4 linked regions of the Arabidopsis thaliana genome follow. The protein of the gene in region 1 interacts with the protein of each later gene in a pairwise test. Each region holds a gene or a part of one and is shown on either strand. Other genes may lie near its edges. The genes, in order: CLV2, RXW8, CNGC5 and AT5G15240.

The links.
Region 2: the proteins of CLV2 (region 1) and RXW8 interact in a protein complementation assay, tested with the Arabidopsis thaliana proteins (one large-scale study listed by BioGRID).
Region 3: the proteins of CLV2 (region 1) and CNGC5 interact in a protein complementation assay, tested with the Arabidopsis thaliana proteins (one large-scale study listed by BioGRID).
Region 4: the proteins of CLV2 (region 1) and AT5G15240 interact in a protein complementation assay, tested with the Arabidopsis thaliana proteins (one large-scale study listed by BioGRID).

Annotation. Positions count from the first base shown.
Region 1 is NC_003070.9:24,285,238-24,289,868, forward strand, and holds CLV2 (Leucine-rich repeat (LRR) family protein), read left to right. Parts: upstream 1-1,504; 5' UTR 1,505-1,705; coding exon 1,706-3,868; 3' UTR 3,869-4,092; downstream 4,093-4,631. Other genes in the region: AT1G65370 (TRAF-like family protein), read right to left, coding at 1-260, 357-462. UniProt on the Arabidopsis thaliana protein: Involved in the perception of CLV3 and CLV3-like (CLE) peptides, that act as extracellular signals regulating meristems maintenance. Required for the sensing of the root CLE peptides (e.g.
Region 2 is NC_003070.9:21,730,659-21,738,580, forward strand, and holds the start of RXW8 (GDSL-like lipase/acylhydrolase superfamily protein), read left to right. Parts: upstream 1-1,907; 5' UTR 1,908-2,145; intron 2,146-2,759; exon of another isoform or gene 2,760-2,796; 5' UTR 2,797-2,884; coding exon 2,885-3,165; exon of another isoform or gene 3,166-3,262; coding exon 3,263-3,409; intron 3,410-3,512; coding exon 3,513-3,576; intron 3,577-3,700; coding exon 3,701-3,910; intron 3,911-4,539; coding exon 4,540-4,734; intron 4,735-5,159; coding exon 5,160-5,458; intron 5,459-5,679; coding exon 5,680-5,956; intron 5,957-6,282; coding exon 6,283-6,558; intron 6,559-6,852; coding exon 6,853-7,086; intron 7,087-7,171; coding exon 7,172-7,349; intron 7,350-7,427; coding exon 7,428-7,507; 3' UTR 7,508-7,922. Other genes in the region: AT1G58525 (GDSL-like lipase/acylhydrolase superfamily protein), read left to right, coding at 1-35, 138-393, 514-686. UniProt on the Arabidopsis thaliana protein: Acts as an osmosensitive calcium-permeable cation channel.
Region 3 is NC_003076.8:23,454,639-23,461,138, forward strand, and holds CNGC5 (cyclic nucleotide gated channel 5), read left to right. Parts: upstream 1-1,926; 5' UTR 1,927-2,028; exon of another isoform or gene 2,029-2,259; intron 2,260-2,377; 5' UTR 2,378-2,477; coding exon 2,478-2,506; intron 2,507-2,685; coding exon 2,686-3,268; intron 3,269-3,429; coding exon 3,430-3,642; intron 3,643-4,033; coding exon 4,034-4,344; intron 4,345-4,484; coding exon 4,485-4,596; intron 4,597-4,734; coding exon 4,735-4,971; intron 4,972-5,132; coding exon 5,133-5,801; 3' UTR 5,802-5,983; downstream 5,984-6,500. Other genes in the region: APO2 (APO RNA-binding protein (DUF794)), read left to right, coding at 52-79, 182-300, 447-799, 885-1,716; AT5G57950 (26S proteasome regulatory subunit), read left to right, coding at 6,040-6,267, 6,353-6,413. UniProt on the Arabidopsis thaliana protein: Probable cyclic nucleotide-gated ion channel.
Region 4 is NC_003076.8:4,945,701-4,950,976, reverse strand, and holds AT5G15240 (Transmembrane amino acid transporter family protein), read right to left. Parts: upstream 3,401-5,276; 5' UTR 3,216-3,400; coding exon 3,074-3,215; intron 2,403-3,073; exon of another isoform or gene 1,982-2,402; coding exon 1,371-1,981; intron 1,285-1,370; coding exon 766-1,284; 3' UTR 567-765; downstream 1-566. Other genes in the region: FTSH6 (FTSH protease 6), read left to right, coding at 1-145, 219-566; GASA4 (GAST1 protein homolog 4), read right to left, coding at 4,952-5,133.

The sequences.
Region 1 (4,631 bases):
TCCTCCCATTGCAAAGGTTTTAGATATGCAATCATTCTGTTTCAGAACAGAGAAATCACGAATGCTCCAAGAGAATTTGTGAAAAGGGAGATTCTCATCAACAGGGACGGGTGATGAAGCAATCTTCACATGAGCACCAAACTCACATGGTTCTCCTTCCACGATAAATCCCTTTGCAGGGTCAGTGAATGTTTCAAGCGACATAGCTTTTGGCAATCCCCAAACCGTTTTAGAAGAACTGAAACGCTTAACTTCAACATCTACATGTTTACACGTATACACACACATTACGATTCATTCATTCATATATACATACGAGAGAAAAAGAGAGATAATAAGGATTTGAGCATACGAACCTTGGATTGAGAGGTACTTGTTGTCTTTCTTGTTAAAGACAAAGAAAGAGAGATAATCAAACACATCAATGGGTGGTGTTGTGGATGAGAGACATTCCACATACATAGACACAAAGCCCTTTCCATTGTCCTCTTCGTTTCCTTTTGGGTAAACAACCAATCTCCTGATTTTTACAAAAAAGGCAACATTTCTTAGTTATATATGCTTGTAGTGAAGAAAGATGTGAAAGTCTGACAAGAGAACAAGACGAAGGAGGAGTCTTTCTCCAAGTCTTCAACATTGCAGAATCTGATGCATATGAACCCATTTTCTCTACAAAATGTTGCAACCCTAGAGAGCAAAACAAAACATACCCATAATCAGAAATGATCTGACGAAAATCGAGTTACAATACACAAGAGAACATTTTTTTTAGAATTCTCAGATATTAAAAATGACACAGAAAGCTTTATGCTTTTTCCTCTTAAAAGACTAAACAAGTTGAAATCTAGAGAAAGAACTGACCAACCTGAGACAACGAGAGAGACTTGAGAGATTTCTTCGGCACTTACTATTAGATCTAGGGTTTAGATACCATTTATATAGAGAAAGTTTTAGAGTTGCACAAAACATAAATTAATGTGTTAGAATGGGCCTAAAGCTACAAAGCTGGCCTGGTTTTGTTTTAAATTGTTGGTTTCATGGACATTTTCGACATCTTCGAACATGTTATTTTTTGAGACTATGCAAACTTGAAGCTCTTTACTCGAGTTGAAATCGTATGACTTATAGTGAAATTGTACATTTGGTTTCGATTTTTCTTTTACACTCTTTCTTCTTTGAGCCGGTAAATTTGGAATTTTTCTTCATAGTGGAATCATATGCTGTTTTTTTTTTTTATAGTAAACGTTACAAGAATGAATGGTAACTTTATCCAAAAAAAAAGAATCATATTATTTTGAAATGATTTTAAGTAAATTCTAGGTTCAATAACATAAGATTTGAGACTAAATTTAAAATTTCTTAGTAAAATATATGATTTTTTTATAAATACCTATAAAATTAGTAATTAACAATACGGATTACGTACTGAATCAAACCCTTTGTATTTTGTTTTTCCTAGAAATAAGTGTAGATTTTTGGAATTTTGCATTAATTAATCACTTCTTGGGTCTGAAAGGCTAAAACAAAAGGAACCGAAAGAGAATGTTCTCTCTGTCTTTATCTTCCACTTCCACTTCCAGGTCGCGTTGCTTCACTCTCCATTGCAAAGAGAGGTCTCTGCGATTTCTGCAACTCACCCCTGAAACCTTCTTAATTTACTTCAACTGCCGCTATACCTAAAAACTTCATCTTTCTCCTCTGAGCTATGATAAAGATTGCAGATTTCACTCTCTTCTTCTTTATCTTCGTCTTCTCTCCCTCGTTGCCTCTAGCTCAATCTCAGCTTCCCGATCTCGACCCACAAGACAAAGCTTCTTTATTGATATTCAGAGTTTCGATTCACGACCTAAATCGAAGCTTATCGACATGGTACGGCTCATCGTGTTCTAACTGGACAGGTCTAGCTTGTCAGAATCCGACCGGAAAAGTTCTCTCCCTCACTTTATCCGGTCTGAATCTCTCCAGTCAGATTCACCCATCTCTTTGTAAGCTCTCTTCTCTTCAAAGCTTGGACCTTTCTCACAACAACTTCTCTGGAAACATTCCTTCTTGCTTCGGTTCGTTGCGTAATCTTAGGACACTTAATCTTAGTCGGAATAGATTCGTTGGTTCGATACCCGCCACATTTGTAAGTCTTAAGGAGCTTAGAGAAGTTGTTCTAAGTGAGAATAGAGATTTAGGCGGTGTGGTCCCTCATTGGTTTGGTAATTTCTCAATGAATCTTGAGAGAGTTGATTTTAGTTTCTGCTCGTTTGTTGGAGAACTACCTGAGAGTTTACTGTATTTGAAGTCTCTCAAGTACTTGAATCTTGAGAGCAATAACATGACTGGTACACTCAGAGATTTTCAGCAGCCATTGGTGGTTCTTAATCTTGCTTCAAATCAGTTTTCCGGTACGCTACCTTGTTTCTACGCCTCTCGTCCGTCTCTTAGTATTCTGAATATAGCTGAGAACTCTCTGGTTGGTGGATTACCTTCTTGTTTGGGTTCTTTAAAAGAGCTGAGTCATTTGAATCTATCTTTCAATGGCTTCAACTACGAGATATCTCCTAGGCTTATGTTTTCAGAGAAGCTTGTGATGTTGGACTTGAGTCACAACGGGTTTTCAGGTCGTCTTCCTAGTAGAATCTCGGAAACAACTGAGAAATTGGGTTTGGTTCTTCTTGACCTCTCTCACAATAGCTTTTCTGGTGATATACCGTTGAGGATCACAGAGTTGAAGAGTTTACAAGCATTGCGTCTCTCTCACAATCTTTTAACTGGAGATATTCCTGCTAGAATTGGTAATCTGACATATCTCCAGGTCATTGATCTTTCCCACAACGCGTTAACCGGCTCAATACCTCTCAACATTGTTGGTTGCTTTCAGTTACTTGCTCTGATGATAAGTAACAACAATCTCTCTGGCGAAATACAACCCGAGCTTGATGCGTTGGATAGTCTAAAGATACTGGACATAAGCAACAACCATATATCCGGTGAGATCCCGCTTACTTTAGCTGGTCTGAAGTCTCTAGAGATTGTGGATATAAGTTCCAACAACCTCTCGGGGAACCTTAATGAAGCCATTACCAAATGGTCCAACCTCAAGTATCTTTCTCTTGCCCGGAACAAGTTTAGTGGAACACTTCCTTCTTGGTTGTTCAAGTTTGACAAAATCCAAATGATTGACTACTCCAGCAACAGATTCTCTTGGTTCATACCAGACGATAACTTAAACAGCACACGCTTCAAAGATTTTCAGACCGGTGGAGGTGAAGGATTTGCTGAGCCACCAGGAAAAGTAGAGATCAAAATATCAGCAGCTGTTGTTGCTAAAGATGAATTAAGTTTCAGCTACAATCTATTGTCTATGGTTGGGATCGATCTTTCTGACAATCTATTACATGGAGAGATCCCAGAAGCTTTGTTCAGACAGAAGAATATTGAGTACTTGAACTTGTCCTACAACTTCCTTGAAGGTCAGCTTCCACGTCTAGAGAAGCTGCCAAGGTTAAAGGCCTTAGATCTTTCACACAACTCTCTGTCAGGTCAAGTCATTGGAAACATCTCAGCTCCTCCAGGACTAACCCTACTGAACCTATCGCACAACTGTTTCTCTGGTATCATTACCGAGAAAGAAGGGCTCGGGAAGTTTCCAGGGGCGTTGGCCGGAAATCCGGAACTGTGTGTGGAAACTCCCGGAAGCAAGTGTGACCCGGCAAACATTGATGCATCACAAGAGGAAATATATCAAAACGAATTGGTGGAAGGACCGATATCTATTTGGATATTCTGCTTAAGTGCGTTTATTAGCTTCGATTTTGGAGTGTTAGGTATCTTTTGCTCAGCTCGTGCTCGTAGTTATATTCTTCAGACCAAAGCTTAACTCCAGAGACTGATTGATGTATATTCAGTTGTAACACATGCATGTATGTTGTTGGTCTGAGCTGTGAAGTGGAAATGCTCGCTTTTAACTAAAGTCTCTCCCAAATGTTGTTACTTGTGTATATAGTTTGACCGGTTAACCTTTACATGAACCGTATTGGGTTCTTGTTCTGTTTGTGATTCAAGAAGTGATTAGACTCAATAATCTAGTACTATCTATCTAAACACATCGAAACTCGAGTCAGTGAGTAGTGGTGTTCATTTCGGAGATTAGGACAGGAAATGGTGGGTAATGATCAGGAACATACAATTTGGGTGTTTAAATGTATAATCCACGAGTACAAAAAATGATAATCGAAAATCAAACCGAACGAAATGAATAGAAAAAAACAGAGATATGGAGATCAATTAAAGTTTAGTAACAGATCTAACTAGCTAGAACCAATTTAATTTCTAACAATCTCGGTTTCAACTGAAATATGGTTTCGGAGAACCTGTGATAACTTTGCCAAAACCATTCACTAAACCATAACCAGGTTAATACTTATCTGAGTCAGAACAAGAATTCCGAAGGTTTGAAGAGCTGACCAAAGAACAAAACGGTCCCGGTTTTGTCTTCTCGGATAAGGAAAATAAATGGATGATCAGCCACAAAATCTATCTTCTTAGGAGGTGGCCCCATATCAAGAGCACAACCGTCATCTTCTACATCAGCAGTTGCAGCCGCAGCTTCAGCACCTTCTTCATCGATCTCGACACAAGCT
Region 2 (7,922 bases), 2.6 Mb from region 1:
ATTTCTTGGCTGACTCTGCTGTCCATTTCGTGAGAGTAAGTATTTTATTCGTAGTTATATATAATAATACATAAACTAATCAATAATATATTGTTATATCCACTAACTATTTTATCTTATCTATAACTGATAATTAGGAATTACATAAGCTTGGAGCTCGAAAAATTGGAGTGTTTAGTGCAGTCCCCGTTGGTTGTGTTCCATTACAAAGAACAGTTTTTGGAGGTTTTTTTACAAGAGGATGTAATGAACCTCTAAACAACATGGCAAAACAATTCAACGCAAGACTTTCTCCAGCATTAGATTCTTTAGATAAAGAGTTGGATGGTGTTATCCTTTACATTAATGTTTATGATACTCTTTTTGACATGATCCAACACCCTAAAAAATACGGTAAGTTCATCTAACAGATTTATCTATATAGAAACTATATATTATAATTCATTTTTATTGTCGAACTAAATTTTATTCCAATTATCTCATTTCTTTTAGGTTTTGACGTAGCCGATAAAGGATGTTGCGGTAAAGGACTGCTCACAATATCCTATTTATGTAACTCATTGAACCCATTTACGTGTTCTAATTCTTCATCATACATATTTTGGGATAGCTATCATCCATCTGAAAGAGCTTATCAAGTTATCGTCGACAATTTACTCGATAAATATTTGAGCAAAGTCTATTGATGTTGAGGAATCAAAGAAAATTGTATCTTTTTGTTTCAAATTTTTTTTCATCTTAATTCATGTCTCACTATGTATTCATATCTTAAATTTTAAATATTCATTCTTTTTCTATAATAATATTTGGTGGGATAAAGATAAATATTTTCAACGGAAAAATATACAATCAAATAGTGGAATTTTATACGTTTTAGACTATTTTATTCCTTTTGTAACATACTAGTATAATAATACCCAAAATAGTATACATATGTTACTTTCATAAGAAAAAAAAAAAAAAACTATTCTACAGTACTTAGGCCTGGGCAAAAGAACCGCTAACCGATTAACCGAACCGAGCCGAACCGAAAAACATGGTTCGGTTCGGGTTTGGATAGCTTAAAATAACCGGCTGGATATTATATGTTTTAGATTTCGGTTTCGGTTTTGGTTAGGTTAGTAACCGATAACCAAAGGATAACCAAAGCATATATGTATGATAGATAATATATCACATATATTGTATGTATTGACACTTAACTATGTTCTTCTCTTTATTAGTTTGCAAGTTGAATTTTGTGAGTTGTGAATCAGGTATTTTAATATTATGGAGAGTATGGACCATATTTGCATCTTTGTGAGTTGTGAATATATCTTTTTTTACGTACGTTCTATATCGGTTATTGGTCAATTTTTTTTTTTTGTTTCGGTTTTTAGTCGGTTATTTCGGTTTTGGTTTATTTATGGTTACCAAGTTTAATATCCGAACCGAACCGAACCGAAAGATATCCGAATCGAACCGAACCAAAATTCCTCAAATATCCAAAATGGTTCTTATATTACTATAACCGAAATAACCGAAACCATGCGCAACCGAACCGAAACCGAATGGTTAACCGAATGTCCAGGCCTAGTAGTACTATATTGAATAAAACTTTTATGTCATACTCATGCATATCTCACTTGCAACAAGAAACACATGAATCCAAAATCCATGATTCCTTCTTCACCTTTCCTTTAATTTTTCAATAGTCATAACAGTTTTAACTAACACTTGAGCGAACGTTGTGAAAAAAAACGCACCCACACGTGTCGCTATCTTACCCATTCTATCACAAAACCAACGGTCATAATAAATTCGACCACAGAGTAGTCGCTCTCACATAGTATCAAATCTTGGAGCATCAACCATTTTATAACCGACACGTGGCCTAATCGTCGCTCCCTTCTTCACCGGCCACACAACGTGGCCTAATCATTTGTATTTAATTTTAATTATTTGCATGTTTTCATTTTAAGTTATGATTTGAATGAACTGGAAATGCGAACTCTTCGCGGAATTGGAATTTTAAAAGCAATTCGGTGTTTCATTTTTTTTTTTTTCTCTTCTCTTCTCTGCGAATTCTTAGGGTTTCTGAATCTTCTGGTTCTCTTCGCAATCGAATTCTCTGAAGTCAAACCAAAGTTTTTGGTATTTCTCTCTGTAAGTCATGTTTTTTTTTTTTTTTCTGAAATCTCTTCGATTTGGTTTATTCTGTTATACAACTTCGTGTTGTATCTGTAATTTTTCTGACGAATTGGATTTGATGATTTTGCTTCGATTGATTTCCCTGGGAATCGAAATTGTGTTTGTTTCACTGGATTTAGTGGAATGCGATTCTCTGATTCATTGTTTGTTCTACGTTTCCGCGTTTTCATCTATCGTAGTTCTACTTTATTGTTTAGGCACCATTGAAATTGCGAATCGTAATTTTGATTAACGGAAAACAGAAATTGATAACTTGAAATTGAATCTCAGTGCATTATGTTGTTTGTTATCTTTGGGTCGTATGTAACCAACTTATCTTCCTCTGCAAGTTTAGGTACTGATTATGATTTGATTCATGTTTCCAATTTTTCGTATCTGCAATGCAAATGCAGAAAGTTTTGGTTAGTGTTAAGATAGTTTGGATTCAACTTACACGTTTGATCGACGATTGTTTATCAGTCTCTTTCGCGGTGTTTCGTTAGCCTATCTGTTTTTTTAAGCATTGGATTTCAGGACTTTTGTTATTTCGATGTTCTTATCTTTTTTCTTTTTGTGATGTTTTCTTACAGTTTCTCCTGCCAATCTAAGAACCTCCTGTATTGCTAGGTTGGCCATCTTGTGACGAGACGACGTACTTATGAAGTTCTTCTCTTCCTGCGATTTTTAGTCAGGAAGGAGTTGAACTAAGATTAAGATGGAGATATCAGCTCTTCTTACATCTGCTGGAATTAATATTTCGATATGCATAGTTCTTTTATCACTTTACTCCATACTTAGGAAACAGCCAGCCAATTACTGTGTATATTTTGGCCGAAGGCTTGTTTGTGGTGGTGCTAGACGTTATGATCCTTTTTGGTATGAGAGGTTTGTGCCGTCTCCAAGTTGGCTTGTGAAAGCATGGGAGACTAGTGAAGACGAGTTATTAGCTGCTGCTGGTCTTGATGCTGTCGTCTTCCTTAGGATGGTCATTTTCAGGTTACTGAAAATAAACTCTCCCAGATGCTTTTTCTTTGTTCTGCTTCTTGGTTTTGTTCTGTAGTGTTTGTTTTACTTTGTGTTTTTTGTTCTGCAGCATTCGTATTTTCTTTATAGTTGCTGTTATTTGCATTGCCTTTGTGCTGCCTGTTAATTATTATGGGCAACCGATGGTGCATAAGGAAATCCATTTGGAGTCATCCGAAGTGTTTACAATTGAAAATCTTAAAGAAGGCTCAAAATGGTAAATGTTTTTTTTTATCTCTACCTATGTCTCTTTGAAAGATGTTACTCTATGCAGAGTGTGTAAAGTGCTGATTTTTTCTCATTACATTTATTGCTCTCAGGCTGTGGGTTCATTGTCTTGCACTGTACATTATAACCTCAGCGGCATGTCTTCTGCTCTACTTTGTGAGGACCTCGTACCTTAGTTTATCTCATGCATACAGCATACTTGAATACTTACTCTTGGTTCCTCCATGTATCTTCTTATTAGTTTATTTCCCAACCTTTTGACATTTTTTTTATACTGTAGGAGTATAGCACCATAGCTAAAATGAGGCTTGGGCATATTACTGGATGTGCCTCAAAGCCAAGTCAATTTACCGTTCTTATCCGTGCTATTCCATGGTCTCCTGAGCAATCTTACAGCGACACGCTGAGCAAATTCTTCACAAACTACTACTCGTCCAGCTACGTGTCCCACCAAATGGTCTACCATAATGGCATCATTCAGAGACTGCTGGTACGTATATTTCTTGGAACAGTCATTTTTAACTAAACTATTACGCAGGCCACCTTCCTCTTGCTTTACTTGTCAGATTAAAACCGTCACCTAGATTTATTTTAAAAAACTGTTATTGCTCTTTGTGAAAATGATTTGAAGTTTTGAACATTTTGCCAGCTTTAAGTGTTACTTCTTATTGCAGTATTCATTTTGGTTGATAGCTTTCGTAGTTGGTGTAAATTTCATGGTTCTGAATTGTTATGTGCTGCTTGGATGTTATAAAGGGTTATTTGATGACTAGATGCAGAGATTGATGATATTACATAGCACAGTAGATATAATAATGAAATTTAGTTCGTGTATCAGCTAAAAGGGGTACAGTTTAGATGCATATTCTGGGAATATGAAAGGACCTTCTAGAGCAACTCTGTCTGTATCCTACTGCTGGGCTTTCATTCTACTGCTTTCTGATACTGTGGTTATTTCAGTATCACTACATCAGTTTCTCATTTATTACCTGTCAGCATGTTGTAGAAATTGGGTAAATGATATGTGGATGGTTTGTGCTTGTGATAAAGTATTTGAAATTTAATGTTCTATGTCAGATAAAAAGTGTGACGTTTAGATTATTCCAATTTCTGTCTCAGCGTGATGCGGAGAGGATGTGCCAGACTCTAAAACACGTTTCTCCTGAAATCAATTGTAAACCGAGTTTAAGGCCATGCACCTTTTGTGGAGGACCTACAGCCACAAGTTCTTTTCATATCCTATCGAATGAGGCAGACAGTGTGAAAGGAATGGAGCTTGGTGAGTTGACTATGACTACGACTACGACAGAGCAAGTAAGGAATTCTTCTGTCTTTCCCTGATCTAGGCATAGGATGTGGATATCTGTTATTTCTTCTGTCCAGTGGAGAGGATCGTTTCAACTAACATTACAAACTGATTTAGAAGTTTCCACTGCATTTCTTCTCAGTTTTTCACCTGGTCCTGACAGATAAAGACTTCTTTTACTTTAATGGGATACAAATTGAACTTTGGAAGTGGCAGTCTGATTGTCTGATACTGCATAGACTTGTATAGTTTTGTTTACTCGGTACAGTTTTAAACCATCATTAATGATTTGTAGCACCATATTCGACAATTCAGTATAGTTAACTAAGATTTTTCACTTTTGTGGTAGCGATTAGAAGTAGCAATGCTTGATTTTAATTAGTCACAATATAGAATAGCTTACTAAAGCCACAAAATTTTCTGCGTTTTGCAGGAACGTTCAGCTGCTTTTGTGTTTTTTAAGACTCGCTATGATGCTCTTGTTGTTTCGGAGGTTCTACAATCATCAAATCCTATGTTATGGGTGACAGACTTAGCCCCAGAACCTCATGATGTGTACTGGAAGAATCTCAACATTCCTTATCGACAACTTTGGATACGGAAAATAGCAACCCTTGTTGGTGCAGTTGCTTTCATGTTTGTGTTTCTTATTCCCGTTACCTTCATTCAAGGGCTGACTCAACTAGTGCAGCTGTCTCACGCATTTCCTTTTCTAAGAGGCATCTTGAGCAAGTGAGTGCCCTGCTGGTTCCTTACGCATGTATATATATATGGTTTTGTTTCTTCTGGACATGATATTAGAATTGGCGTTAAAAAGTAGGCGGAACTCCGGTGCAGTATAGAACACACGAGCCTTCTCTATAGCTTTCAAACCATTGGAGAAATCAAAATTTATGTTCTTGATTTGTTTTATCATCTTTCAAGTTAATCGGGCCACCAAAACCATTTTGCAGGAACTTTATAAACCAGGTCATCACAGGGTACTTACCCAGTGTGATCTTGATTCTATTTTTCTATGCCGTTCCACCATTGATGATGTATTTTTCGGCCTTGGAGGGATGTATTTCACGGAGTATAAGGAAGAAGAGTGCTTGCATCAAAGTCTTATATTTTACCATTTGGAATGTGTTCTTCGTGAATATATTATCAGGGTCTGTTATCAGGCAACTGAATGTCTTTTCTAGTGTCAGAGACATACCTGCACAACTTGCTAGAGCAGTGCCAACACAGGTAATTTACCCATAGTCCTTTTACATTTCAGAGCAAAAGTTTGAATTTTGCTAATGTTCAGGTTTCTACAGTCTCTGAACATTAGCTAGGTTACATTTTGCCAAGATCTTGCAGCTTTCGGATTGGATATAGTGTTTTCTTGCGCTGGAACTTTAATAGTTTGTTCTTTTTCCTCGTTCCATGATAAAATTATATATCAGAGATATTAAAGCCCATTGGAGGAATTATTTGGGATTGAGCTTTTCTGGTTGCTTGTGTTTCATATTTATTAGGAAAAATGAAAATTGTATCATTGATTTTGAATATGGCTTTAACCATGTATGCAGGCTGGCTTCTTCATGACCTATTGTTTCACATCTGGTTGGGCCAGTTTGGCTTGTGAAATAATGCAGCCTATGGCTCTTATCTGGAATCTGGTAGCAAAAGTTGTTACCAAGAACGAGGATGAGTCATATGAAACACTTAGGTTCCCATACCACACCGAAATTCCTCGGCTGCTTTTGTTTGGGCTCCTGGGTTTCACCAATTCAGTCATAGCACCACTGATACTGCCGTTTTTGCTGATATACTTTTTCCTTGCATATCTCATATACAAAAATCAAGTAAGTGTGTTCTCTGATCTCTTGTACATAATATCACAGTTAATCTCTCCAAAAGCATCATAATGGACTTGTACCTAATTTGTGAAAGCTTAGTTACTTTGTGACCTGCATGTTTTAGATGGAAATTGGATTTGTGCTTTTCGGAATTTTGCTTCTGCAATGTTTATAGTCATGTACAATGTGATAAGAGCCATTAGTAGTGCCAAGCTCATGCATTGAGTAAAAAGAACTCTTGATATATATTTTTAAAGACAACCCTTTGTAGATGCTCAACAGAATTGTTTCTATTTGCAGATACTCAACGTGTATATTACGAAGTACGAAAGCGGTGGACAATACTGGCCTATTTTCCACAACACAACAATCTTTTCACTGATCTTGACACAGATTATAGCTTTGGGGTTTTTCGGATTAAAGCTATCAACAGTTGCTTCGGGTTTCACCATACCGTTAATTCTTCTCACGTTACTTTTTAGTGAGTATTGTCGGCAGAGGTTTGCGCCCATTTTCAACAAAAATCCTGCCCAGGTATATTAAATGTAACCAAAACCTTTGATGTTCCTACTGCAGTTTATGCGTCTTCTCGGTGCTTGATTGATGTGTTTCTTTTCAGGTTCTCATAGATATGGACAGAGCTGATGAAATATCAGGAAAGATGGAAGAGTTACATAAAAAATTGCATAATGTATACTCGCAGATACCATTACACTCTCAGAAATCATCGAGTAAAGCTGAATGTAGTAATCCTTTCAAAAAGCAGGAGTTACCAGATCCTGAAAAATTGAAGCCAGGTTTCGAGTTTATATCACTGTTTGTGTATGATTATAGATATCACTTGATTAGAGACTAATGAGATTTATATTTTTCAGAGGAGGGGGATGCGATAGCTAAAGAGTTATGGGGATTCCAAGGCAATGAATCTGGTCAAGAACATGACACTAAGTCCTGAGCATCTTTCTCCAAAGAAGATCGAACTTCACAAACGGAACTAGACAGATGTTTTTACTAGTGAAGTGCCTATGTGTTGGTTCAATCACAAAGTCTCCAACAAATCAGTGCATTAAGCACAAGAGTTCTCTCGTAGGCATGCTCAGCTGCAAAACCAATGTTACTGGGAATACTTTCACTCACTTGAAGAAAAGTAGATGTAAGTTTTTCTGGGATATTTGATAATTTCTTCAATGAAAATTCCTATACAAATTATATGGGGGAAACATGTACAGTCTTGTTGCCAAGATAAAAATGTACATCTTATAGTTACTGCAAGAAGAAATGGAACTTCTTTATAGAGCTCAGAGTATGAGAAACTAAAACTATCAATCTCTTTGATGAGATGGCCATTTTTCAGTTGTTCATCTATGGAA
Region 3 (6,500 bases), on another chromosome or scaffold:
TCTCTTCCTTATCCTCCATCTTCCAATGGTTTAATCCAGCAACTGTCGACGATGTCGATAACGTACTCCGCTATTTCCTGTAAGTTTCTTCCTCACTGTGTGTCGAATCCGTCCTCAATGCTCAATTTTATCCATTTATTGTGAGACTGTGATTGATTTTGGTTTCCGTTGTTTTATCCAGCTAGTACAGTTTCTGGGTTTTCACCAAAAAGTGTACCTTTTGCTATTCATAGCGTAACCAGGAGGCAATTTCTTAATCCCAACACGTTTTATAGATTTGGGTTCTCTCCTTCTCTTCAGGTCAGATTCCTTTACTAGTCAGTATCATCCAATTCTCCAGACTCTGCTTCGTTGTTGTTTTGGTTCTTAGAATTAGACCACACTTCGTTGCTTCCCTTTGAAGTAGAGAGTCAATGTTTACTGTTATGTGCGGATATGTTGTGCAGGGAAGTAGCATTGAGTTTAGCCTTCAGTTGAATTCAAGAGTTGTGCTTAGTAAAGAGCGTCGATCTCTGCCATTAGTTGTGAGAAATGATCGTCCTCAGAATGAAGACTTACCTAAGCAGTACACAAGGCGAGAGAAGAAACCTTTCCCAGTCCCTATTGTGGACCTGAGACGAGCTGCGAGGGAGAGAGTCAAGAACAACAAAGACAAACCTAAGAGACCTCTACCTCCGCCTAAAAATGGTATGGTTGTGAAGAGCCTTGTGCCTCTTGCTTATAAAGTATACAATGCAAGAATCAGATTGATCAACAATCTCCACCGGCTTATGAAAGTTGTTCGTGTTAATGCTTGTGGGTAAAAATTCTCTTCTTCTTCTTGTTTCATTTTTGGTCTGTTTTGAGTATGGCCTTTTTTTGATGTTGTATGATTGGTCTCTTAGGTGGTGCAATGAGATTCATGTTGGACCTTATGGGCATCCATTTAAGTCGTGTAAAGGTCCCAATACTTCCCAAAGGAAAGGTCTTCATGAATGGACTAACTCGGTTATTGAGGACGTTATTGTTCCTCTTGAAGCCTATCACCTTTTTGACCGCCTTGGCAAGCGTATCCGTCATGATGAAAGATTCTCGATTCCCCGAGTTCCTGCTGTAGTTGAGCTCTGCATTCAGGGCGGCGTTGAAATACCCGAATTTCCAGCAAAAAGGAGAAGAAAACCGATTATCCGCATTGGCAAAAGCGAGTTTGTTGATGCAGATGAAACTGAATTGCCTGATCCAGAGCCTCAGCCTCCTCCAGTGCCATTGTTAACTGAGTTACCTGTCTCAGAGATCACTCCCCCATCTAGCGAAGAAGAAACAGTCTCCTTAGCCGAAGAAACATTACAGGCCTGGGAAGAAATGAGAGCAGGAGCCAAAAAGCTGATGAGGATGTACAGGGTTAGGGTCTGTGGGTACTGTCCAGAGGTTCACGTAGGTCCAACGGGACACAAGGCCCAGAACTGTGGTGCATTCAAGCACCAACAGCGGAATGGCCAGCATGGTTGGCAATCTGCAGTACTTGACGACTTGATACCGCCAAGATATGTTTGGCATGTTCCTGATGTGAATGGGCCACCGATGCAGCGAGAGCTACGAAGCTTCTACGGGCAAGCACCTGCTGTTGTGGAGATATGTGCTCAGGCTGGCGCTGTTGTACCTGAGCATTATAGAGCTACAATGAGACTGGAGGTTGGAATTCCTTCGAGTGTGAAAGAAGCTGAGATGGTTGTTTGATATGTAGAAGACCTTGTAAACTTCTTCTTGTACAAAATCCTCCATTCCACCTTGTGTTGTATAATAATATCACAGCCCAGGTCTTTTTGACTTTTGAAGGACAAAAAAAACAATCCACGCTAATCCTATTATCAAGGGTAAAAATGTCATTTGCTTCGTTTTCATCTTTTCTCGTTGCCATTTTCTTTTTTTTGTCTGTGTCAAGTCGATACCACTTGTCTGGTAGCTTTATACCCACTTTCATCTTTTTCATGTTCGTAGTTGTTCCTCTGGTTATCCTCATCAACGGGACCCTTGAAACCGTGTAGCCATGTAAGCCTTTGTCTTTGTCTCTTTCTCTTGCTTCAGCAAGTTCACGTCTGCTCTATTTCTAATTTTGTTCTAAGATTCAATTCTCCTTTTTTCTATGCGAGAAATTTAAGATTGGTTCTCTAGCTCTACCTCTTTAAATTTGTTACTATGTGTCGGTGTCCATCATTCATCAAATTTTTTCCTTTTTTATCCATTTGAGTTGATGTAATGATGTTGCTTCGCTTCATACTGGTCAGAGTTAGTCTAATCTTCATTTTAGCACAACTTGACAACTTCATATGGTTATGACTTATTTTTACTTGGGTCTTTCAAAGGTTAAGTATTTTAGTCTTATTTTGGGATGATGCAGCTTGCTTAATGATTAGAGTCTTAAAGCTGTGCTCTTTCTTCATCGATTTGAGCAAGTGATCTTGGAAGGCTCTTGAGTTCTGAATTCCTTGTAAGCAATCATGGCAGGGAAAAGAGAAAACTTTGTGAGGTTAGTGCTGCATCCTTTTGTTTTAATACAAAGATCTGAAGTTTGAATGTGAGAAACGTATTGATTTGGCAATGGTTGTTTCTGATTTGTTTCCTTATGAAAGTATAGTGTGATTGTACTGAACTATAGCTTGTTGGTGCATAGTAATCTGAAAGTGGTGTTGTTCATACCTTTTATAGGGTGGATGATTTGGACTCTAGGTTACCATCATCATCTGTAGCCTTCCAACAGAACTACGCCTCCAATTTCAGTGGACAACTTCATCCTATTCATGCAAGCAATGAAACTTCTAGATCCTTCAAGAAAGGTATCCAGAAGGGTTCCAAAGGGCTTAAGTCGATCGGACGTTCACTTGGTTTCGGTGTTTATCGAGCAGTGTTCCCAGAAGACCTTAAAGTATCTGAAAAGAAGATATTTGATCCTCAGGATAAATTCCTTTTGTATTGCAATAAATTATTCGTTGCGTCATGTATTCTTTCAGTGTTTGTGGACCCTTTTTTCTTCTATCTTCCTGTGATTAATGCTGAGTCCAAGTGCCTGGGTATTGACAGAAAACTGGCTATCACAGCAAGTACATTGCGGACTTTTATCGATGTGTTTTATCTCGCTCACATGGCTCTCCAGCTTAGGACTGCTTATATTGCACCTTCATCACGGGTCTTTGGGCGAGGTGAACTCGTGATTGATCCTGCACAGATAGCAAAGAGATATCTACAACGTTGGTTTATTATTGACTTTCTCTCAGTACTTCCTCTCCCTCAGGTTGGTTAATATAAGTTTTGATCATTTCAGTAAATTGTGTGTTGGAAAACATCATTGCTTAATTTGTTGAAAGGGTGCAGTAGCCAGTAGTTGGTGATCAGACATCTCTGTCAAGCGCTTTCTAGTTCTAGATTTACAGTACTCATTTTGTGTATGTGCAGATTGTAGTTTGGAGGTTCTTGCAAAGTTCAAATGGGTCGGATGTATTGGCTACAAAGCAGGCCTTGCTTTTCATTGTTTTGGTCCAGTATATACCGCGATTCCTACGTGTCTTACCCTTGACGTCAGAATTGAAAAGGACAGCAGGTGTCTTTGCTGAAACGGCTTGGGCTGGTGCCGCTTATTATCTGCTTTTATATATGCTTGCAAGTCATGTGAGTTTATATACCTTTTTCATTTTAAGACGTTGCTTGTACTATTCAATGCTTGCCCATTCACCATGAGTTATGTGACTGTGGCACCAAAAGTGCAAAACAAGGAAATATTTGCATATCCGTTTCACTGTTATGAACTTATGTTCAAATGTTTAGTTTCCTAAGACATGTAAAGGAGCTTATTGAGCTTTCTGGTTAAGCCGTCTATGCTTACCTTTGATGTTCTATGCAACCTTTCGTTTTATCTTAGTTGATGTTCATGCCTCATGGGATCACAAATGTCAAGTTTCTTATGACGAGCAACTCTGATTGTATAGCTTATTTACTCTTCAATAATAGTATTGACTTGGTAAGTGCTATTTTGATTGAGCCACTGTTTCGTATCTTGCAGATAGTTGGAGCTTTTTGGTACCTTTTAGCCTTAGAACGTAACGACGCCTGCTGGCAGGAGGCCTGTATAGATGCAGGGAATTGCAGCACAGATTTCTTGTACTGTGGCAATCAAAACATGGACGGCTATGCTGTTTGGAACAGAGCCAAGGAATCTGTTCTTAAGTCCAAGTGCCGAGCTGACCTCGATGATAATAATCCTCCATTTGACTTTGGGATTTATACACAGGCTTTATCGTCTGGAATTGTCTCGTCCCAAAACTTCATCGTAAAATATTGTTATTGTTTGTGGTGGGGCCTTCAGAACTTGAGGTAACCATGTTCTATCACTATTCAGTCGAAAGACTATTGCTTTGATCTTACCAATTCTCACTAAACTCGGCTCCTTTATCAAAGTTATGCGTCTATGAGTTTCAGATATTCATATAGTACTTCTCATTGTTGCACCACAGTACACTTGGACAAGGGCTTGAAACCAGTACATACCCAATGGAGATTATATTTTCCATATCTCTCGCCATTTCTGGGTTGATCCTCTTTGCTCTTCTCATTGGAAACATGCAGGTGAGTAATTATGGTGCAACCTTAGCTACTTTCGTGATCATTAGAAATTTCTTGTAAGCTCTTTCAATGGAAGCATCATGCATAATTTGTTTCCTCTGCATAATGACTATCTAACAACATTTTGCAATCTTGGGACAGACATATCTCCAATCTCTTACCATCCGGCTTGAAGAAATGAGAGTAAAGAGGCGTGATTCAGAACAATGGATGCATCACAGAATGTTACCACAAGATCTTAGGGAGCGTGTGAGGCGCTATGACCAGTATAAATGGTTGGAGACACGTGGTGTAGATGAAGAGTATCTCGTTCAGAATCTTCCCAAGGATCTCCGGAGAGACATCAAGCGGCATCTCTGTCTGGCTTTAGTGCGAAGGGTAAGTTCTCCCCGCTGTTCCTTATTCAAGCTTCTCACATAGATCACACACCCTTTTGAACATCTAGGACCCATTGAATAACAGTCGGCTCATAACTAAAACGAGCTCTTGACCATCGACAAGCTAGCTTGGTTCATGATACGTTTTTACCATAATATTAGGTTCCATTGTTTAAGAGCATGGACGACAAGCTGCTGGATGCGATCTGTATGCGGCTGAAACCATGCTTGTTCACAGAGAGTACCTACTTAGTGCGGGAAGGAGATCCTGTAGACGAGATGCTATTCATAATACGTGGTCGCCTCGAGAGTGTGACAACAGATGGAGGCAGGAGCGGTTTCTTCAACCGCAGTCTCCTGAAAGAAGGAGAATTCTGCGGGGAAGAGCTTCTGACATGGGCATTGGATCCAAAATCAGGTGTAAATCTCCCGTCTTCCACGAGGACCGTGAAAGCTCTGACAGAAGTAGAGGCGTTTGCGCTGACCTCAGAGGAGCTGAAGTTTGTAGCAAGCCAGTTCCGGCGCTTACATAGCAGGCAAGTGCAGCACACATTCAGGTTTTACTCTCACCAATGGAGGACTTGGGCTGCTTGTTTCATCCAGGCTGCCTGGCGTAGATACTGCAAGAGGAAGAAAATGGAAGAGGCAGAAGCCGAGGCCGCGGCTGTGTCCAGCTCAACCGCTGGACCTTCATACTCCATTGGGGCTGCATTTCTTGCCACTAAGTTTGCGGCTAATGCGCTTCGCACCATTCACAGGAACCGGAACACAAAGATTAGGGATTTGGTGAAGCTGCAGAAGCCTCCTGAGCCTGATTTCACTGCTGACTGATGATTGAGCAGCTTGTAGACATTATTGTTTATAATTTATGGGAATCATTACGGTTGAGATAAACAAATATTGCTTGGCTTTAAAGCTGCTTGTGCTGTCTGTAAAATTAATATATGAAGTGTAGAAACAAAGAGATTATAGCCGTTGGATTTAATAAATGTACGGTTAGGATCATATGCCGGTTAAAGAATGGGTCTATTGGGCCTTTTAATGAAGCCCACAATATATTCACGGTGACATGCTCCGGTCCCAAGGTAGAGAGAAGTTGCGATTGATTTCGGTGAAAGAATTAAGAATCGATCGGACTTGGAGAAGAGAAGAGAAGATGGTTGGCGCGAATCTGAAAGCGGAGACGATGGCTCTAATGGACAAGAGAACAGCCATGGAGACGGAGATGAACTCTATTGTCGAACGTCTCTGCAATCCCGGTGGTCCTGGTCTCTCCGGCAATCTCATCGACTCGGAGGTACTGTATCTGCGTCCTCACTCTTCTCTAATCTTAACCGAAAATTCTGCTTAATTTTCTCCTTTGATTCGTTTGCTTATGGCAGGGATTTCCTCGGGAAGATATTGACATTCCCATGGTGAGAACTGAGCGCCGTCGTCTTGCTGGTGATTTCTCTTTTCTTGTGCTGAATTAGTCCATAGTTAGGGTGAGACTACAACTCCAAGGTTAGTTTAAACTTAGGAAACATAGCA
Region 4 (5,276 bases), on another chromosome or scaffold:
GACATTGGTGTCTAAACAGCAATTGTTCGCTAGAATCGTCGGAGGACTCGGAGGCAGAGCCGCCGAAGATGTAATTTTTGGAGAACCGGAGATAACCACCGGCGCTGCCGGTGATCTCCAGCAAGTCACTGAGATAGCAAGACAGGTACAGTAATTGAAACAAAATTTTCATAAACCGGAAAAAAACGGTGGATTTTCTAATTATTCTTATGGTTCAGATGGTGACGATGTTTGGTATGTCGGAAATCGGTCCATGGGCACTAACCGACCCAGCGGTTAAGCAAAACGATGTGGTTCTACGGATGCTAGCGAGGAACTCAATGTCCGAGAAACTTGCGGAGGATATTGATTCTTGCGTGAAGAAAATAATCGGTGACGCTTACGAGGTTGCGAAAAAGCACGTGAGGAATAATAGAGAAGCTATAGACAAGCTTGTTGATGTTTTGTTGGAGAAAGAAACCTTAACGGGAGACGAGTTTCGAGCAATTCTGTCTGAGTATACTGATCAACCGTTAAATACCGATGGCGATGTAAGAATTCGAATCAATGACTTGATTAGTGTCTAATACAGACACCTAGATCAACTCATGTCTTCATTTAACGTATTCACATTTTTCTCATTCCAAATTATTACATAACTCAAAAAAACTTCGTTAACGAAAGTCACAAAAAATCAAATAAAACAAATTATGGTATTGGACTGTTGGTAGTACAAATATCTTCCTAAACAAATACTCTATAAGCTAAACTTCACCTATTGGGATTTCAAAATCGACCAAAAATGTCCTTGACCGCTTGGTAAGTTCCGGTTATCACAACCACGATACCGGTTAGAGTGATTCCGATGAGCACCAATGTTTCGAATCCGAGTCTTTGATATTTCCCAGAGATCTTTAAGTAACATAAACATGGCAATATAACCGATGCGGATGCGCTCAAGAATGCTCCCACAAGACTCATAAGATCACCAAAAAACGGAAGAAGCAATGCCACAATCACATTGCTAGTAACTAGTATTGTACTTAGCAAAAATCCAGAAGCTCTTTTATTAGGCAAAACTCGAGAAAACCGGCTTCTCATTGCGTCAATAATAGGTGTAACCATGAGAGCAAACTTAGCTATTGGGTTGACCAATGTAGTCCATATCGCCACTTTTGAACTAAGCTTATCAGTAGGAAGATTCAAAGTGATCTGTGATTCAACATCTGATCCATACATTAAGTAACCCAATACCGCCACTGATGCATATATGAAGGTGCATATTGTGAAACATATAATCATAACCTGAAAATGTTAAAAAAAATATGCAAAATTATTAGTGTGAGTTTTGGTCAAGAATAACCTAATGATCCGTTATGTAAAAAACTTACGTTTGAGAATTGGCGTTTGTTCTTCATGGAAGTGTATAGAGTTGGGAAAACTGGATGAGCGCAATAACAAAACGCGTATAAGCTCACCGAAGTAGCGACTCCATTAAGTCGAAAGACCTCTGAGTCATTGTTCTTGAACCCTACGCCTTCAAAAGCTCCAACCGAAAAGATAGAAGCAAGAATAACCCCGGAAGCAAAGACACCACTCGCGGAAACATAAGAAAGAATCCTCATATTGTCTAACCAAACCGAAGGAAGAATAATGAGAGCCACCATGATGATGAACATTTGCTTGCCTTGGAATTCAAGCCCCATGAAGTTGAGTCCAACGTTTGAGAAGAGTTTGTTAAGGTTGTCACCTTCTAGGATCAAGAAACTAGTTGCAACTAGGTAAAGCTCGAGGTTCATGAAGATGGAGACGATAACACGTCCTGTGTTTCCAAAGGCTTTGTAGCCAATGTCCGGGTATGATCTAAGAAGTGGATCCATTTCCATACATCTCTTAATGAGAATGGCACAGTAGAAAGTTGTGATCGCTACGGTGAAAAGTATGATCAAACTTAGCCATCCTCCGGATGCTAAGGCATAAGGGACCGATAATATACCCACACCTAAAAAAAAAAGAGTTGATCAGAAGAATGTCCAAGCCTAACGCATATGCTAATTAACGTTTTTTGTGTTAACTATTTACAAACGTTCTTTTTGTATATATGAAAACGCAAACGCAGTTTTTAATTGAAAACACAAACGCAAAGAAATATTCGTGGTCTCGTTACCAATAAGATAATATGATTTGATTTTATCAAAGTGGTTTGTAGTCTTGTAGAAGAAGAAGAACACAAATTGAAAAGGGAAGACGTGTTGTTAATGTGTTAAGGTTTTGTTCAGTGACACGTTGTATTTATATCTGAAAGATAATTGGAATTGCTGGTTTCTTTCTATTTAATTATATGGACTGTTTTTTGTTCGTATATGGTCTAGTTTGGTCTAGTTTGGTCAGACGTGTTTCCAGTATATAATTAGTTTTTTTAGTATAAACTAAGTATCTAGTTTGGTATATAAACAATTAAGTACAACGATAGCGGCCAGTTTGATAAACCCATTATTAGGCCATTACCACATTTAGCGAATAAATAATAGCAATAGTCATTGAAAACTTTGCCGAATTGTTAATACTATAGTGTTAAATTCAGTTAAACGGAACCATCCTAACCTTTAATAGTCAGAACAAAAATGATTTGGTTATTTAGCACTATTGTTTATCAAAGACTATGAAACTGAATCTAGACGAAGAAAAACACAATTCAGTCTAAGTAGAACTGGTTTTAACTTGGTTATGATAAATTATCAACAGAAAAATTAAATAACTAAAAAAACTGAGGCAAGACTAGGAGGTAAAGAAACAAAATGTAGGATTGAAATACACACCAATCTAGATGATACAAGATAAAGTCAAAAGCTTGAGTTAAAAACATGCATCTATAGAAATTAAGTACAATAAAGCTAATTATAGTTTTTTCTAGATTATTTTGAAAATTAAGATATATCCTATCCATATATGTGGACATGCTAAGAGTTGGATCTTTCCCCGTGAGTTATGGAGTTTGGAGATAAGAAGAAGTGGTGAATAAATCAAAAAGAAAAAATCAATCACGAAAATGAAAATAGAAAAAAAAAAAAAGAAGAAGAAGAGGAAATTAAACCTGATAAGGCGTTAATGCCATGGAAACAAGTCTTGGAGAAAGAAGTATTGCCCTGTGGATTATAATCATCAAGCAATGATTCTTCATCATCAATCTTCTTAACGATAAATGGCTCCGACATGTAATCTTTGTCCTCGCTCATACTTGTTTAGTCTTTGACTCTGCTCTTTGGATATCGAAGAGACAAAGAGAGAGAGACGGAGAGATCGAGAGACGAAGGAAATAGATAGAGAGAAGTTGGAACTTGGAAGTAAACAATAAAGAAACCCTCAAAAGGCAATATATATAGTGTTAATACATTTACTAGGGTCAATGTTTTTAAATTACATCAATTATTAGAGCTGATTTTTATGCAGTATCCATGCACATATGATATCTACACGATATTAGCGTGGCAGTGGAATTCTATTTAATGTTTATTGACCAATTAAATATTCGTGGATGGGGTTTTTAGAAACTAATTGAAATTTAAGTGCAACTCTTTATATAGAAAAAAATTATAACCACTTACACACAAATCTACCATAATTTGCGATTTGTGTGGTTCTAGAATTTAATGTTAGTTGTATAAGAAAATTGGTAGGAAGAGAGAAAATAAAACTCCACGAAGTTTTCCACTTTAATGTTAGGGCGTTTAACTTAGGTGATAGAGAGAATGCAAGTACCAAATCCTCTTTCGGTGAAGACTGAAGAGGGATCAAATTTTCATAAAAATACATGGTCCAAAGTAGTATATCATGTCAATAATCTGTTGGACGAGACTGGAGCACTTGAAAAATCGTCACATATTTTTTTGTTGTCGTTTGTTAAAAATAGTTGACAAGTGAATCCCCAGACCTAAAGAGTAGATAAGTATGAATAGCCTTGATCTGACGTAAATCAATATCTTGACGCTAGTTTACAGTTATGTTCTACAAGGTGCCGAGTAGTTCTAACAATAATGAAAATATCGACATATATATCTATATATTTTCGTTACTATTAAAACCATACTGCAAATTTTTTACAGTTATCCAATATGTTTTCATTCAGAAATCGAAACCAAAAACTTTTATAGGTTACAAAATGAGTTCTTTAGAAAAGAAGAATACTCATTGCCGGCCATTTCCCCATGTTGTGCTTGTGAAAAAATAGCATGCACATGTTGATAAAAAAAAAAAGTATCTTCTTCAAGATCACCATTCAAAATGCATGTGAGATGTCTAACAAAGAGAGCTAAATTGAGCTTTGTTGTTAATGCTAATAACTATAGTTGTACTCCAAACCTCATATTTCTTGTCGATTAATGTCAATATATAAGGCATTATTAAGAGTATTTATTGATACGTAGGGTAATGAACGGGTAAAACGTTTATAAGTTTGTGGTTCATATCATTGCACCGATTGTAAAATATCGTTGTCGTTATTTATTTCCAACTGCCCAAAGCCCAAGTCTTGTATAAAAGAAGATTGCGGCAAAAAGCAATCGCGTTAGAACACGTGATTTTGTAAAAAGCTTGGAAAAATCAATAATGGGCTTTTTAGTACTGGGCCGAGAGACCCAATGTCACTCTTTTCTACATATGCATACTTCTTTCGCAGGAATTTTTTAAATTGTATTATTTGGTTTGCCTTACCCTTTATAGTATTACTATTTTCGAAATGGAAAATATCTTTTTTTTTGGTGGATGAATGGGAAAATATCTTTAGAAACACAAGTATTCATGAAAAATATCATTCATAGGGCCACTCTCATTTTTTTTAGGATTTAGAACAAAATCCGAAAAGGAGTGACATAACATTACAACATTAGGAATAAAGTAGATAAAACATTGATCAAAGGAAATTTAGTTATAGTTGAAAATTTTTATTATAAAAAGGGAACGAAGGGAGATTTTTTCAAGGGCATTTTGGTCCACCCTCTTGAGTTTTCCAGTTGTTGTAGCAGGAGCAAACTTGTTTGTTCCCATAGTAACCCGGAGGCACACAGAGACACTTCCTGCAGCATTTGTTGCAGAACGTAATGCAAGCCTTGTGGTACTGTGTCTTTTTACACCTCCTATCACATTCCGATGGGCATTCTGGTTGTTTCAAATACAAACAATATCAAAATGTTAACACTCAAAAATTTTTTATTACTAATAAAAACAACAGAATCTAGTGGAAATTCATTAGCTTTTTTTTTTACTGTTTTGTGGGTCTCAAGATAGTGGGTTGCTTTGAC